Saccharomyces cerevisiae S288C: one gene and its partners. The protein of the gene in region 1 purifies or fractionates together with the protein of each later gene. This does not show direct contact. Each region holds a gene or a part of one and is shown on either strand. Other genes may lie near its edges.

Region 1 (4,847 bases):
TCAGGTTTTCGACGATTGGCTCATAATCCTCGACGCAACATGGGTCGTTCTTCATCATGGTAATGATTGAATCAAATAAATTGAATTCATCTAGAAAATTGTTCATAGGCATTGTTATTTAGTTATCTTCTTTTTTGATGAATCAATAATTTTATAAGGCTTAGTGTAATTGTTCTCCCGATGATAGTATGAAACGGTAGTCGATAAATTTGTGTCAAATTTTTTCCTCATCCCATCAATTCTTCATTTTTTCCCTTCCTATTTTTTTTTTTACTGAAGCGATGATGCCTTATATATAAGGAAAATAGCCTCGTCAGTCAAAGGACGACTCCCGTAATGGTAGCCTCAGTTTATATTAGGCGCTCTCATCATGATGTATATCGATATTGGCGATGATATTTTTTTTTGTTGATATTAAATACAAATGTAATGCTTTATATAGTTCTATACTTGGGGAATACATGATGTGAATGTGCATAAATAGAGGACAGTGAATATTTTTCAAGGAAGCTCTTTCTCATTTTCTTCTTCATCACTGGAATCATTTTCATTAGACAAGGGTAATTTGTTATCCTTCCCATTGAAACCAATCCATCCTTCCTCGTCGTCAGATTCCATGACTACATCGTTCTCTTCGTTCTCTTCGTTATCTTCATCTGCGTCATCTTTTAATAGAACCTCGTCATCATCAGCCGCGCCATCTTCCATGGACCCATCAGTTGATACCAAAAATCTATAGGTGTATTTGTTATCAGTAGTGGTATTGACTACTTCCTTAGCCACTCTAACAATAAATCTTTGTATCGACCTCATAGCCGTCGAGAAGAGATATTTGTGTTCATTTATGTAACCACCGCTCGCAGATAATAGAGCTTTGATCCAAATTAGGTTAAACTCAATGTGTTGGGATTCAATGGCAAAATCACCGATGAACTTCAGAATCCTCGGTAAATATATTGCAGGAATATTACTTGCAACCAAGGGGATTTCCTTAATAGGTATGGCTTCATAGACTTTATTGATCAAATATTCTTCATTTAACCTGAACGCCATTACTAATGCATTTAAAAACTGCTTTTCTCGTAGCGCCTCTACAGTAGAATGGGGGGTGACGTCCACATCCAGATCAAAGGGATCAAATAATATCGTGTCATTGGTGGAATATATCAATAAACCTTCCGTTGAAGCAGCGGCAAATGCATTCGCCGTTGGGGAGAATTGCACCGAAGTAACTCTAACCTCTGGTCTCATTTTTCTTGTGGACAGGTCGCCACCTCTTTGAGACCCTGGTAAAGAATTATCAATACGATCCTCCAAATCTGAATTTTCGCCTGCATCGTCAATCAAATCTAATGAACCTGCTTCAGTCATTTTCTTACTGTTTAAAAATTCGAGAGTACCATTCAAAGCCATGTTTCTGGACACAATGAATCTTTTTAACAAGACTTCATTTGGAACATCATATAGACAAATGGAGTTATTATTACCACCAGCCACAATAGCCATACCATCAAAACTGTAATGTATTGTAGTAAAAAATTTGGATCGTTCAGAATTTTTGGCAGTGAACCTATCTTGATTAAACCTACCAGATATTATATCCTTTCTACAGTCAATGTTGCCCACCTGCTTGGCATCTTCTATGTTGAAAATGGATATTTGACCCTTTAAGGTAGATACTGCAACTTCTTTACCATCTGGTCTCATTGATAAGGCTAAAACATCGGAATAAACTTCTATAGGTTCTACTTGTTGGCTTCTACCAAATATGGACCAGATTCTAATTGTTTTATCCCATGATGCAGAAGCTAAGACACTGTTCTCTTGACTAAATGAAAGACACGAAACAGGGCCTTCATGTCCGGACAAAGCATCTAATAATTGACCAGTTTGCACGGACCAAACATGAATGTCAAAATTGTCCAGGGACCCGGCACAAACCACTTCACCTGATGGATCCACCGCTAAACAATTGAATTGGATTCTTTCAGTACCAGTGAATGTTCTAAAATTACGATACCTGATTAAGTCCCACGCTCTCACCGTACCATCTAACGATGATGAGAACATGACCTGACCCCTTTTCGCAAACTGTACAGCAGTAACTGAAGAGGTGTGTTCTTCAAAAGTGGCCAAACAAAACCCTGATGTAATGTCCCAAACTTTGATTTTCCCATCTTCGGATGCTGTCACTACACGTGAACCATCCGGAGAGTATGCAAGACTATTTGTGGAATCGAAATGGCCCTGCTGCTTCAAGATATACGATTCCGATTGCCATTCGTAAACTAGTAATTGGCCCAGTTTGCTGGAACCAAACGCCAGCCATTCGCCGGTTTGGTTGACGCTAACGGTGTTGACTGGGTTTTGCCCCATAGAAAGCTGTTGAATCAAAGTGAAATCAGGCAAATCGTAAAGACGGAATTCCCCACTAGTAAATCCGACAGCTAAAAGCCTTGTTGCTGGATGGAAGGTGACACACTTTACTTTGGCTTGGTTTGCGTAAAAAAAATGTTTCTTTGTGATTCTCCAGCTGTATTTCGAAATATCTACTTCTTCTTGCTTGTCGTCGTCTTCACTTTCATTGTCGTCGTCATCGGATGGCCTCTTGGTAAATTCCCAGACAAAGACAGCACCGTCTTTGCTTACAGTGTAGATTTTTTCCTGATCATGACTGAAGAACGCACCCATAACGTAGTCTCTGTGCCCATTAAATGTTGTCGCCGCAAGGTTCTTTTCCTCTGAATCTACGGACCATATTTTTGCGCTTAAGTCTTTGGAAGTCGTAAGGATAAATCTGGAATCTTGTGACCACGTCAAAGACGTTATGTCTTGAAAGTGTCCCGCATGCACCCTATGGCGGACGAAGGGAGCAAACTGTCTGTCTTTATTAACATCTGGAGTCTTCCAAATCTGTAAAAACCTGCCTGAGGCTAATGCAAAGAGTCTCCCATCAGGGCTGAACTTCACAGCGGAGCATTTTTCTTTGAAGTTGAAATGGTGAAGCACGTTACGGGCTTTGAAATTGACAAGGATGGCGCGACCGTCCTCGTCAATAGAAATCAGCAATGTGCCTTGTTTGTTCAGATCAATGGCAGCAATATTTTTGCGATGCTCGTATTCAAACGTGAACGATTTGTTGTTGATTAAGTCAAACACGCTGACCCTATTCCCCACCGGTGAGAGTAGTTGCTTGCCATCATCGGAAAAGGTGATGTTACCTTGCCTGTAGACCGTACCTAAAAGGTTAGAGAACTTGAAATCGGATTTCATTGGGATGCGGTTCAATCTGCGGTCTGCTCTCCTGTCTACCTGTTGAAAACGATACTATTATTACTATTATTGATATTATACTAGTTATTGTACATACCTAGAACTATACTCGAAACTTTTTTTTTTTTCATCTTTCAGCTCATCGCAAAATTTTTCCAAAAAATTTCAAAAAGAACTCCCGTCGCATGTGATCAAGGTTACAGGTGCTTGACATAATCATAATGATTACGAGTCGAAGCCGGCCCTGACAACAGCTTCTCTTGCCGTAGAATTGATGTGTTTAAACCGGTCGGGACCTATGTGGGCACCGCCGAACCAACGGGCCACCACAACGATGACGTTCCACACATCCATGATGGTGATGAGGTGCAGCATTCTGGAGCCGGCGGCCGTTTCACCGTCATCATCGGAATCTTGATATGTTGCCGCAGAGCCATCCTGCTTGATTCGCCATGCACTCATGACATGGTTTGCCTTACGCATCTTGGAGTCGGTCTTCAGTAGGTCTAGCATGGCAAACGCTTGTTCCTCGGAGGTAACATGTGCTGCAAAGGCCATGAAAGTCGAGCCTCTATCAGTAATGGGGTCCGACGCGGTCCAGCCCTCGAAGGGGTCTGTGGGAATGTCACTCTGCTGGACCGGTTCTGTCTCCTCCTCTGGTTCAACGTACAAGACACCGTCGAGTTCTGTGAGGAAGTCAAATAGACAGACAGATCCGCGGTGGAAAACAGAGTCCATCACTTCCTGGAACAAATGCTGAAGGTACTTGGTATCGTAGAGATCGCGCTTAGCCAAAGAAGTGCAGACACCAACTTCGATGACATTAGGAGCCTCCTCGGAGGGGTAGTGTGTCGGGAAGGAGATCTGCAGTGTCATGTATTCATGCTGCGGCACTTTCACAACGATGATGCTTCCGTCTTCCTGCTTCTTGGAGAGAAGATCCGGATAGATGGCCTCGACGGCCTCCAGTTCTTCGACCAACTGTTCGTGATCGTCATCCATTGAGCTTTTCTTTCCTCTCTCTTTTTTTTTTCTTGTTACATATTCCTATATATATGTATATATATCTATATATATATATATCCCAGCGTATATGACTGCACAAGACGCAATTTTCTTGAACGGTTTTTTCTTTTCAGCACTGCGAAAGAGAGAGCAACGGTAAAGAGCATGAGCCAATTTGAAAAGCAGAAGGAACAGGGCAATTCTTTGTTCAAACAGGGCCTGTATCGCGAGGCTGTGCACTGTTATGACCAACTAATTACTGCTCAACCGCAGAACCCGGTCGGGTACAGCAACAAAGCCATGGCGCTGATCAAACTGGGTGAATATACACAGGCTATTCAAATGTGCCAGCAAGGACTGCGGTACACCTCAACGGCAGAGCATGTAGCTATCAGATCCAAATTGCAATATCGTCTAGAGCTGGCACAGGGAGCGGTAGGTTCAGTACAGATCCCTGTTGTAGAGGTTGATGAACTACCGGAGGGATACGACCGGTCCTGAGAAAAGAGAAAGGGAACACTTCTAATTTATCTTTAAAATTATATATATATATATATATATATGTGTGT
Region 2 (2,727 bases), on another chromosome or scaffold:
CACTGCTCATAGTGGTGTTAATTGCTATAGTTATTCATAAAATTCCTGCCGTTCTTTCCCTCACTAGTTTGATGGTATCGAGACAAAACTTAATGAAATGGGAGGTGATCTGTAACGTTTTCTTGTTTGCGTCATCGACTCCGATCGGATACATAGTGTTATCCCTTTTGAATCTGAGTCATTCGCCAACGATGGATTGGATAAGTGGAAATCTTCTGCTTATGAGTGGTGGCAGTTTACTATATGCGTCTTTCACAGCATTTGTTGGTGGAGATTCTCATGATCACGATCTCAGCGTTGAACAGGAAGTCGTTTTACCTCATGATGAATCCGTTTATGTTTTGATAGGTGTCTGCATACCGTTGGTGATATCGTACTGCATCTCTGAAGAATAACCTACCAAACTTCAGTATATATTCTCATTGTTTGATTATAGATAAATGAACATTATGATTAATTTTGTGATTGTACTATTATTTTATTATGTTGTATGCTATATATTACCCTTTATTCAAAGCCTTTCTATTTAGCCAACGGTCTTTTGAACGTATGATGGATGATTCTTTCTTTGGTGGTAATGTTTTAGAATCTTGTGTGGTGGATAACAATTGAACTCTAAATTTTCCTCTTTTCACCGAATCTTTCCTTAAATTTTTTAATGTCTTCCTTTTCTTAGTTTTTATAGCTTTAGCCAATGCCTCTTCATTTTCATCTGACTCATCCAATTTATCGAAAGTTACATGTCTTGAAGATGAGTACTGCGTACTACCTTCGTCCTTCTGATCTATATTTTTTAGCAATTCCTCAGGAAGCTCCGCAATTACTTCATCAGTGACCTCTGTCTCATTCACTGATTTCTTTTGCTTGGCGTATAATTCATTTTGCTTCCTTCTCTTGGACCGCAATTGTGATTGTTCCAGCCTTATAGCCTCCTCCCTCTGAGTGATCTGTGATTCTACCTCACTTTTCCCAGAGTGAAGCCCTTCTTCTTGTGGAGCATCATCATCATCACTTTCCTCATCACTACTTGAATGCACTTCCTTGTCCTTTTTTGATATTACCAGCACATCATCTTGTCTATCCGTGACAGCACTTGCGCTGGCTTGACTTTCATCGGCATCAAACTTGACGTGTCCATTACTCATTGTCTTACTTAATACGTGTATACGGGTAGTAACAGTTCAGGGTATCAATTCGTACTGCCTTCTAAACATATTTGGGCTTGTTCGAACAACTTCGCTAACCTCATCGCTTGAAAAGAAAAATTTTCAATCAACGGAACTTGATACCATCTTTCCGTGGAGGAACCTTCTTTTTCTTTTTATTTACCCGACCATTCCCGTGGAAGGTGACTTGAACACGTTTCAGAGTGCTATCCCCGCTAATTTCCGATTTCATCTCTGGTTGATATACCTTTTCAGTTTGTCGCTTAGCACGATTGAGTTGTCTTTTCAAAAGCTCGGCGGCTATGACTTCTTGCTCCTCTTGTTGACTTCGCAGCATTCCATCTTCAGAAGGTGATGATAAAGATGAGGGATGGATCCTGATAAGCAAAGGACCTTCAACGTTCTCAGATGTATCATCAATATCCATATCCACGTCTACCTTGCCCGCGCGGCCTAGGTACCGGACAAACTGCGTCAAAGAACGATGCATGGTGGCATTCATATGTACATGATCGCGATCTTGAACATACTCGTTGTATACTTTGTTAGCATCAATCCATTTTTCTCCGTGCCGCTGCTTCAATAACTGTAGAAATCCCTTTTCAAACTGGATATTGTAGCGCCTAGCGTCCTCAGCTGTCACTTGACTAATCTTCCTTAAATGAGATGGCGATTTGTTATGTGATTGAAATCCGTTTGCATCTTTACATTGCCTTTGGCATATTTGGCAGTAGTAACGGGTTTTCTGTAACCCACGACGAGCTCCCTGCTTGGACCAATATTTCGCACTATCATAATCTGCCATCGCTGTGATTTTCTACAATCAAACAACCCTGTGTTTTCGCTCTTTTTAGGACTTGTCAAGAAAAGAATGATGATACTGACTTTTCCATTTGATATTAATTTCAACTAGCGGAGTTTTTCCAGTTTTCAAAGTACAGGACAAAGTGTTGTGTAACCCGGACCAGATTTACATTGGTGTACTATAATATGTACTATAACAGATTGGAGGTATAAACCTAGAGACCCTTCTACAATACACGTACGAGGAGGTGGTCTTCGAAACTTACAGTACCACCTGACATGTCGTTATTAGAGCAATTAGCAAGAAAAAGAATAGAAAAATCTAAAGGCCTTTTAAGTGCGGACCAGTCTCATAGTACATCGAAAAGTGCATCCTTACTAGAAAGACTACATAAGAATAGAGAAACTAAAGATAACAATGCTGAGACAAAAAGGAAGGATCTGAAGACGCTACTTGCAAAAGACAAGGTAAAAAGAAGCGACTTTACCCCGAACCAGCATAGTGTTTCATTGAGTTTAAAGTTGTCTGCCTTAAAGAAGTCAAATAGTGATTTGGAGAAACAAGGAAAATCAGTGACATTAGACAGCAAAGAAAACGAACTCCCTACCAAAAGGAAATCGCCTGATGATAAACTCAACTTAGAAGAGTCATGGAAGGCTATTAAAGAAATGAACCATTACTGTTTCTTGAAAAACGATCCATGCATAAATCAAACCGACGATTTTGCGTTCACAAACTTTATCATAAAAGATAAAA
Region 3 (7,663 bases), on another chromosome or scaffold:
AAAGAACACCCTTGAATACTGTCATGGACTCGCTGGGACATGGTGGCCAACAATATTTTAATAGTAGAATCACTGACAAAGATCTGCTAAAAAAGTGTCCGATTGATTTGACAAATGACGAGTTTATATATCTAACGAAATTATTCATGGAGTGGCCTTTCAAACCAGATATTTTAATGGATTTTGTTGATATGTATCAAACAGAGCACTCTGGTTGAAAAAAGTGCTTTTAAAATTTACTTCATTATTTAATAAATATGTGATTTTAGCGTGTGAATATAAAAAATACATAGAACTCAATCTTCGTTAACACGGAACCATCTTGTAATCAAGAAGCGAGAAGCGGAACTAAAACTTTAAGAAAAGGAGCTCTACGAACCGTCAAAGCTAAATTGATCGATAGAAATTGCTTCTTGAAACTTTACATTCTATGTACTTTACAAATATACTTTACAAACTTAGCCATTTATATTACTTTACAGTTAAAAATCCATCAGGAATTATTCGTCTGCTTTTTGAGATTCATGGCTAGCGACATACTCAGTAGCTTTAGCTTTAACGTATTCAATGGTCTTTTCGTCACCTTCAGATTCCTCAAATTGTAACCATTTATTAAAGAAAAACTTAGCCTGCTTCCTTGTTATTTTTTTGGTTATTATTCTCTCAAATAAATCTTCCACCTTCTTCTTATCTTTTGCCTTCACTTCCTGGTCTACGTAAACGTTCCACAGGTCAATTCTCTTTGGCGCATCAGCAACCAAACCTTCGAATAATGACCGACCCCTTTCTGGGTCACCCTTTGCAAATTCTAATTGAGCAAACTTGCGGACAACCTCGATATGATTACGCTTTGGTAGGGCCTTCAAAGCATTACCTAAAATAGTACGTGCCTCTTGCTCTTCATTGTGGCTGATCAAAAAATCACCCCACGATACCCAGATAGAAACTTTCTCGCCGCCAAATTTCTTAGCTGTAGCTTTGAATAATTCTGCTGCTTTGTCGAACTTTTCACTTATTTCATAAATACCAAGCAGTTTTGTATGAATAGTATATGAGTCCATATACTGACAAGCCCTGCTAAACACTTCTTCTAAAGTTTCTTCGGTACCAAAAGTATTTTCTAAATTCAGCATTGCAATCCAAATATTCAACTTCTCGGCTTCTTCTCTGAAGTTGATGGTCTTTAGCGCACGTTCTGCGAGCTCTCGAGCCTTCTCGATCTCACTCAGTTGTAGTTGGAAAGCCATATAGTTCATCCACACTACGGACGAATTTGGATTACCGATAAGTAGACGTTCAAAATCGGCAACAGATTCTGGTGCCCTAGTGTTGATATCAATGGTCTTATCCTGAACAACATTTTCCTTTCTTCTCTTGTGCTTGTGTTTCTTATTTTCAGTAAAGTCTTCTTGATCTTGGTCAGACTCTTCTTCTTCTTGCGCTTGATCCAAAATGGAAGCAGTCCAATCAAAACCAGCACTCAAGGATAGCCCATCCGAAGATGTTTCAGGCTTCCTATCGGCAACTTCGGTGTTTTGGTCTCCGATATCAGATTCGCTGTCGGAATCGTTGAAGCCAGCATCTGCCATGACTTCATCTTCATCCTCCTTTTCCAGTTGATCCACAGTAGTAGTGGTGGTGGTAGTAGAAGCCAATTCGGCTTCTTTAGAGAAATGAGACGCTTTCAAGCTCAATGAAATTTGTTTTTTTTCTGGATTTGTTTTCAAAACAATAGCTTTTACTCTGTCCCCAACACCAAACAAGGCAGAAAGATCTTCAGGTTTTTTGTCCGCAATTTCAGTAATATGTGCCAAACCAGTAACATTAACAGTGTTATCTAGTTTGACGAAAACACCAAAATCAGTGACGCTTTTAATTGTACCCTCGAAAACATCACCAGCCTTAATGTCTGAATAGGTCTTTAGAACCTTTAAATCACCATTTATTTCGGATTCTCTTAGGGTTAGAGAAATACGAGAATCTTCATCGCATGTAACGACTTTTCCCAAAACGTATTGCATAGGCTTGTAAAACTTCTTCCATTCCTTCAAGTAAGAATCAGATAGTTTACTAACAGGGACAAAGGCTTCAACTTTCCTACTCAAGTAAACAAAAATACCTTTGTCATTCACATTCTTAACAATACCATCTACAATCTCGCCTTGCTTCAAATCTTCATGAGATTTGATCGAACGAGTTTTTGCAGTAGCAGGACGAAGGGATAGTTCAATTTTCTTATTCTGTTCATCAACAGATAAAACGGTAGTTGGAATGACGTTGTTAATTTTGTCTTCAAAAGCTTCCTTCAATGTTAGGGAGAAATCATTTAACGCATCCGTAATAAAGGAAATACCAGTCACTTTGTTACCAAGGTCTAACAAAACATACTTTTCAGCTATTTTTAGAACACGACCTGGCAATTCATCACCAACTTTAATTGTGGACATATTTATGTCAACATGACTCTTTCCAATGGCATTGACAAAGCCATGCTCGCGGTCAATAGAGGCAACTTTCACTTGGAGGGCTGAACCTAATGGGAAAACAGATTCAATATTTTCTGAAAAATTTGAATCGTTATCAGCTAAATCTAGTAGAGAAATTCTCGCCTTCAAAACTGGAGAAATTGTTAGCCATAGGTGGTTACCTGATGAATTGTTGACAAAGCCAGTTAACTCTTGCCCAATGTTGATTTCCTCAAGACTTTTTGTGTGCACTTCCTTAGATTTTAATTCTGATGGTTTCATGGATAATTCCAAAACGCTAGCCTTTGAGATTTTGTGTGTAATCGGCAAGAACTTATGGCTCTTGACATCGTGATTACCTATGATTTTTACCTTGATGACATCGTCTTTTTTGTAATTACTCAACGGCTGTTTCTTATCTGTAATTTCTTCATACGTGTCAAACACTTCAGCAATGTCCACTCTGCCATGCAAATTTGCCGCTAAAATAACATTCAATTGATTTTTCTTGACGCTCTTGATTTTTGCTTTAACAATACTACCAATAGACAAATCGTCCCAGCTTTTGATAGACGAATCAACAGGATCTTCGATATTAGATTCAACTTTCTTCTTCTCTTCTTTGACCTTTGGAGCTTTTAGAGATAATAGGAATTTCTGGTTTTTGTCGTCTGTTCTTAATAAATAGACGGTAACGGATTGGTTAATATAAAACGCCTTGCTGATATCAATATCCCTACTATCAACAGCGTAACTTGGTAAAACCAACCCAATGAACTTACCGTTAAATGCAACAAAGAGACCCTTATCAGAAATGGATTTAATGTAAGCGTGCATTGGTACATCTTTATTTAGATCCTTAACATCATCATATGTTAATGGAAGAGTCTCCTTTTTAGCGTCTTTAATCAGAGAACTTTTGAGGGACATATTGAAAACGCGGGTTCTTGTATCTTTATCAATTACCAAACCAGTCAGTTCAGTGCCGATTCTGAGCTTTTTCAACTGAGCCCTATTTTGTTCAATTCTGGAATCAGAGAGATGACCAACGTAGATGACACCACGCAAGCCAACATCAGGAATTTCAACAATAACAGAATCTTTGGTTTTTTCGATAACATGGACAGTAATGATTGTTCTGCCTGGAACAATATTTTCAATGGTATCTTTTTGTTGGGCAGCCTGTTCATTTGAAACTTTGCATGTGGCAATAATTCTCCTCCTGTCAGCATCGACGTCAAGAAGTTTTACTATTACTGTTTGACCGAGTCTTAAATGTTCTTCTGGTCTCTTCACAAAGACTTCTGAGATCTCAGAATTAGGTAAAAATCCCGATAAACCACCAAAAAAGGAAATGATGCAACCATTTGGTTTGAAAACTTGAATAGTTGCTAAAGTCTTTTCATTTTTTTCTTTGATATTTTTGGCGTTTTCATAAGTGGAAACCAGTGGTAATTCGTTGTCTTCAATATTAACTAATGATTTTTTCAAAGTGACATGCACATTACCTCTTGAATTAACTGATATAACTCTACCTTTAACCTTAGAACCTATCTTGAACTTCCTTTCTGGATAAACTAGCCTGGTATCTGAAATGTGTAATGGTGGAACAGAAGCCTTAAATTGCCCGTTAAATATCTTCAATTCAATACCTGAACTAGAGACGGAAGTTATTTCACAACTTGGTAATAATTCTCCGATTGGAATATCATTTGTTCTTAGATACTTTAATTTTAGGTATTTTGGATCAGTGGACAATTGATAAATGTCATCAACAGGGCTATAACCAAGGACCCTGGAACTTAAATTTTCTGAATTTTCAATTTCACCAACTCTTGAAGAATGTACTTTACCTAATCTATCATCATCCAATGCTAAGTATAGATATTCGGAATCACGCCCTTTAATGCTGCATGATTCAAATGTGTAGCCGATAGGGAATGCATCAAGACCTTCAGTAGATCTCAAAGCGTCTTCTAGTTTTAAAATGTGTGGAAGGTTTGACAAAATCAAGACCTTGTCACCGCTTTTGTTTTCTAAACAAGCAATAATTCGGCATCTAATACTAGAACCAATAACAAATTTATGCTTTAAATCTTCTTCGGAAAATGTTCTTAAATGTGATACGTTGACAACACCGGATACTAACCCAAAAACTTTACCGGCAATACCATTTTTAGTGATTGATTCACACAATAAGTCGACGATTTGACCAGGGATAATGGCATCAATTGAGGAGATTTGAGTAATTTTGTTTTTCTTGTCCGAAAAGTCTGTATTTACAACAATTGATCTGTCGGATTTTTTGGTGATATTACCTAAGAAAACAGCCCCCGGCAATAATTTTTCAAAATTGCCAAAATCCTTCTTAGCAATGAACCCTGTAAAGCCTGGCAGACCAACATCTAAGGTAGCACCGTGATCCTCGATGGATTTGACCGCGCATTGAATAGACGTGGATTTAACCAAATCTTCATCTGCGTATATGTTGACGGATGAAGGTTCGATGGTTAACTCTATTCTCTTCTTTTTGGATTTCTTAGTTGATGGTTCTAAAGAGGTATTCTTGATGACAGAGCATCTTAGCCATTGACCAATGTGAAAGTACCTTCTTAAATTAGGTAATTCATTAGATTTATCTAATTTTTCATCTTCGTCGTCGGACGATTCGTATTCTGCATCTTCAACTTTGGATTTTTTCTCATCAGCAGCATCAGTATCACTATCCATATCTTCATCCAGATCTTCCAAAATCGAAGTAAATTCTTCTGAGATATGTGTTAGGTTCACATAACCAGAAATTCCGTCTGTGAATGTTATACATAAATCTTGTTTAGTGATAGCAGAAATCTGACCAAGCAAAGAAGAGCCATTCTTCAACGTTTTAAAGTTGACATGTTCAATTAGTCCAGCTCTAGCTTCATCAGAGTTTGCTGATGAGGCCTCGGAATCTTTAGAAGTGGATTTCTTTGTTGTCTTCTTCTTTTTCAAGGGTCTACTTGCTGGTTCAGATGCTTTGACACTTTCATTACCAAATAACACATCACTTGCAGCTTCGTTAGCAACTTGTTTCAGTTCTAAAGGAGTCAAAGCAGACGCACCACCCCTTGGAAAAGAGACTTCCTCAGTGTTCCTTACTAATGATGAGGTAGAGGGCTGCTTTGTGGAGTCTTCCCTCGAAAGTGGAAAATCTTCATCTCTCTTTCTTTTGGTGGAAGCTACCATTTTTGCAACAGTACAGGTGTGTTTTTTATATTAAACGGTCCTTGATTCAGACTGTAGTAGTAGATACTAATAGCTTTAAATAAAAATGAATAGACGAACCTTACTGAGCTTTCTTCAGTTGCTGCTAATGTATAGAAGGGTTTAGCTCATCTCATCTTAAAATTTTTCAAAATTTTTCGGAATCAGAAACGACTTAGATCACTTTGCACGCGGGCATTGAATGACTGGCCAATGTAGTGACAATAAACTCTCTAATGGTGAAATATGTACCGCGGCAACAAGTAAGTTTACGTCTACTAATAATTTGTTGAATAAAGTAAGCCCAGAAACAAGCATCCATCTGGCCAGAATAATGTTTTCCTATATGTACTTACCAATTATGTAGTTGAAAAATCATACACAAATAATAGCACTATAAATAACGAGCAGGATATTTATAAAAGAGTTTAACAACAGAGTTCAGGATTGAATATTCTCAGTAACTGCGTAATACATATTGTTGGGATTTACGTTTTTTGCCTTAAACCCTGTTTAATATCTGTTTAGCAAAATGAAAAGCATATGGAAACCTCTTACGCACTGGAATTGATATGTTTTCTATTAATTAGGATAAACCGCTGAACAAGAACCTTTTTCATGGCATATCAAACTTTTTAACATTGGAAAATTAGAGAATAAGCTCAAGAGAGAGATGTACTGAAGTAGTTTTTTACCGCCGGATGAAGTGTTTCGCCTGCTGTTTGTTTCGACCCTGTGTATATGACCATTTAGGTAAAGCCACTTAATAGCCATCAAATATTGATCGAGTTCATATAAAGCTAAAGAGTAGGAAATATACCATCAATGGTGAGCACTTATTTTTTTTTGGATTTAGATGTGAGACATACTAAAAAAAAGTTGCTATCAAGCCTATAATTTGGCTACGTTGTCTTCCGGTGTTTTTCAATTGATTTAAGTTACAACACTCAAATCTGGGTAATTTGATCTTTTTTAATAATTATTTTAGTGACATATAGTTCTTAGAGTTCGCAGATTTATTTTGTCATTTTTTGGATCGGCGTCTTATAAAATCAAGACATAATACATCCGCACATCGCGCATGTGTGGGTGTATATGCCCTTTTCACGATTTTTAAGTTGCGTCTCAAAATAGTTTCCGAGTTGGAAGCCTGAGTTTTTCAAAACAATATAGGAATTAAAGGTATACGTCTTTGGATACATGTTATTTGAAATGGGGTAGAACTAGCACAACTGAAACCAAGAAAACACAGATCATAACTAACCGTTCAAGATGTTGATGCCAAAGCAAGAAAGAAACAAAATTCACCAATACTTGTTTCAAGGTATGTTTGCATTTTTTAGGTGAAATATGCAGTGATATGCTCCGAAATGGATAGCAAAGATGATAAATGAAAATACAATTAAATTGAACTTGAATATCATTAAAAGTGGTAGAAAACCGATTGTTTCAAAAAGATCTTTGTGGACAAGTACGGCAGTGCATGAATCCGAAAGAAAAGTGCAACCTAAGCAGAATTCCATTATTTCACGCGTCCATTTTTATAATGTTTGAACTTTTGAGTCCTTATAGAAATGCTAATATTATGATCAAAGCGATTATATCATTTACTTTACAGTTTCCGGAGTTTCCGTATTATTGCAAAAGGACCACAAACAATTGAAATCATGATATCGTAAGAAATATTATTACTAACAAGGAAGATCATTGAATTACGATCGCATATCGAAATAGAAGGTGTTGTCGTCGCTAAGAAGGATTTCAACCAAGCTAAGCACGAAGAAATTGATACCAAGAACTTGTATGTTATCAAGGCTTTGCAATCCTTGACTTCTAAGGGTTACGTTAAGACTCAATTCTCATGGCAATACTACTATTACACTTTGACTGAAGAAGGTGTTGAATACTTGAGAGAATACTTGAACTTGCCTGAACACATTGTCCCAGGTACCTAC

What was found.
Region 2: the proteins of PWP2 (region 1) and BUD21 purify together in Saccharomyces cerevisiae (affinity purification with mass spectrometry, with the first as the bait; 5 studies listed by BioGRID). This does not show direct contact.
Region 3: the proteins of PWP2 (region 1) and RRP5 purify together in Saccharomyces cerevisiae (affinity purification with mass spectrometry, with the first as the bait; 6 studies listed by BioGRID). This does not show direct contact.

Annotation. Positions count from the first base shown.
Region 1 is NC_001135.5:219,956-224,802, forward strand, and holds PWP2 (snoRNA-binding rRNA-processing protein PWP2), read right to left. Parts: upstream 3,274-4,847; coding exon 502-3,273; downstream 1-501. Other genes in the region: CTR86 (Ctr86p), read right to left, coding at 1-112; YIH1 (Yih1p), read right to left, coding at 3,499-4,275; TAH1 (Tah1p), read left to right, coding at 4,444-4,779. UniProt on the Saccharomyces cerevisiae protein: Required for bud-site selection and cell separation. Also involved in nucleolar processing of pre-18S ribosomal RNA.
Region 2 is NC_001147.6:471,143-473,869, reverse strand, and holds BUD21 (Bud21p), read right to left. Parts: upstream 1,146-2,727; coding exon 501-1,145; downstream 1-500. Other genes in the region: Mn(2+) transporter ATX2, read left to right, coding at 1-395; RTS2 (Rts2p), read right to left, coding at 1,273-1,971; SKI7 (Ski7p), read left to right, coding at 2,250-2,727. UniProt on the Saccharomyces cerevisiae protein: Functions as part of the small subunit (SSU) processome, first precursor of the small eukaryotic ribosomal subunit that coordinates the first two steps of ribosome biogenesis in transcription of the primary transcript pre-RNA and pre-18S processing.
Region 3 is NC_001145.3:725,434-733,096, forward strand, and holds RRP5 (Rrp5p), read right to left. Parts: upstream 5,691-7,663; coding exon 501-5,690; downstream 1-500. Other genes in the region: MTF1 (RNA polymerase specificity factor), read left to right, coding at 1-218; 40S ribosomal protein eS10 RPS10B, read left to right, coding at 6,981-7,032, 7,443-7,663.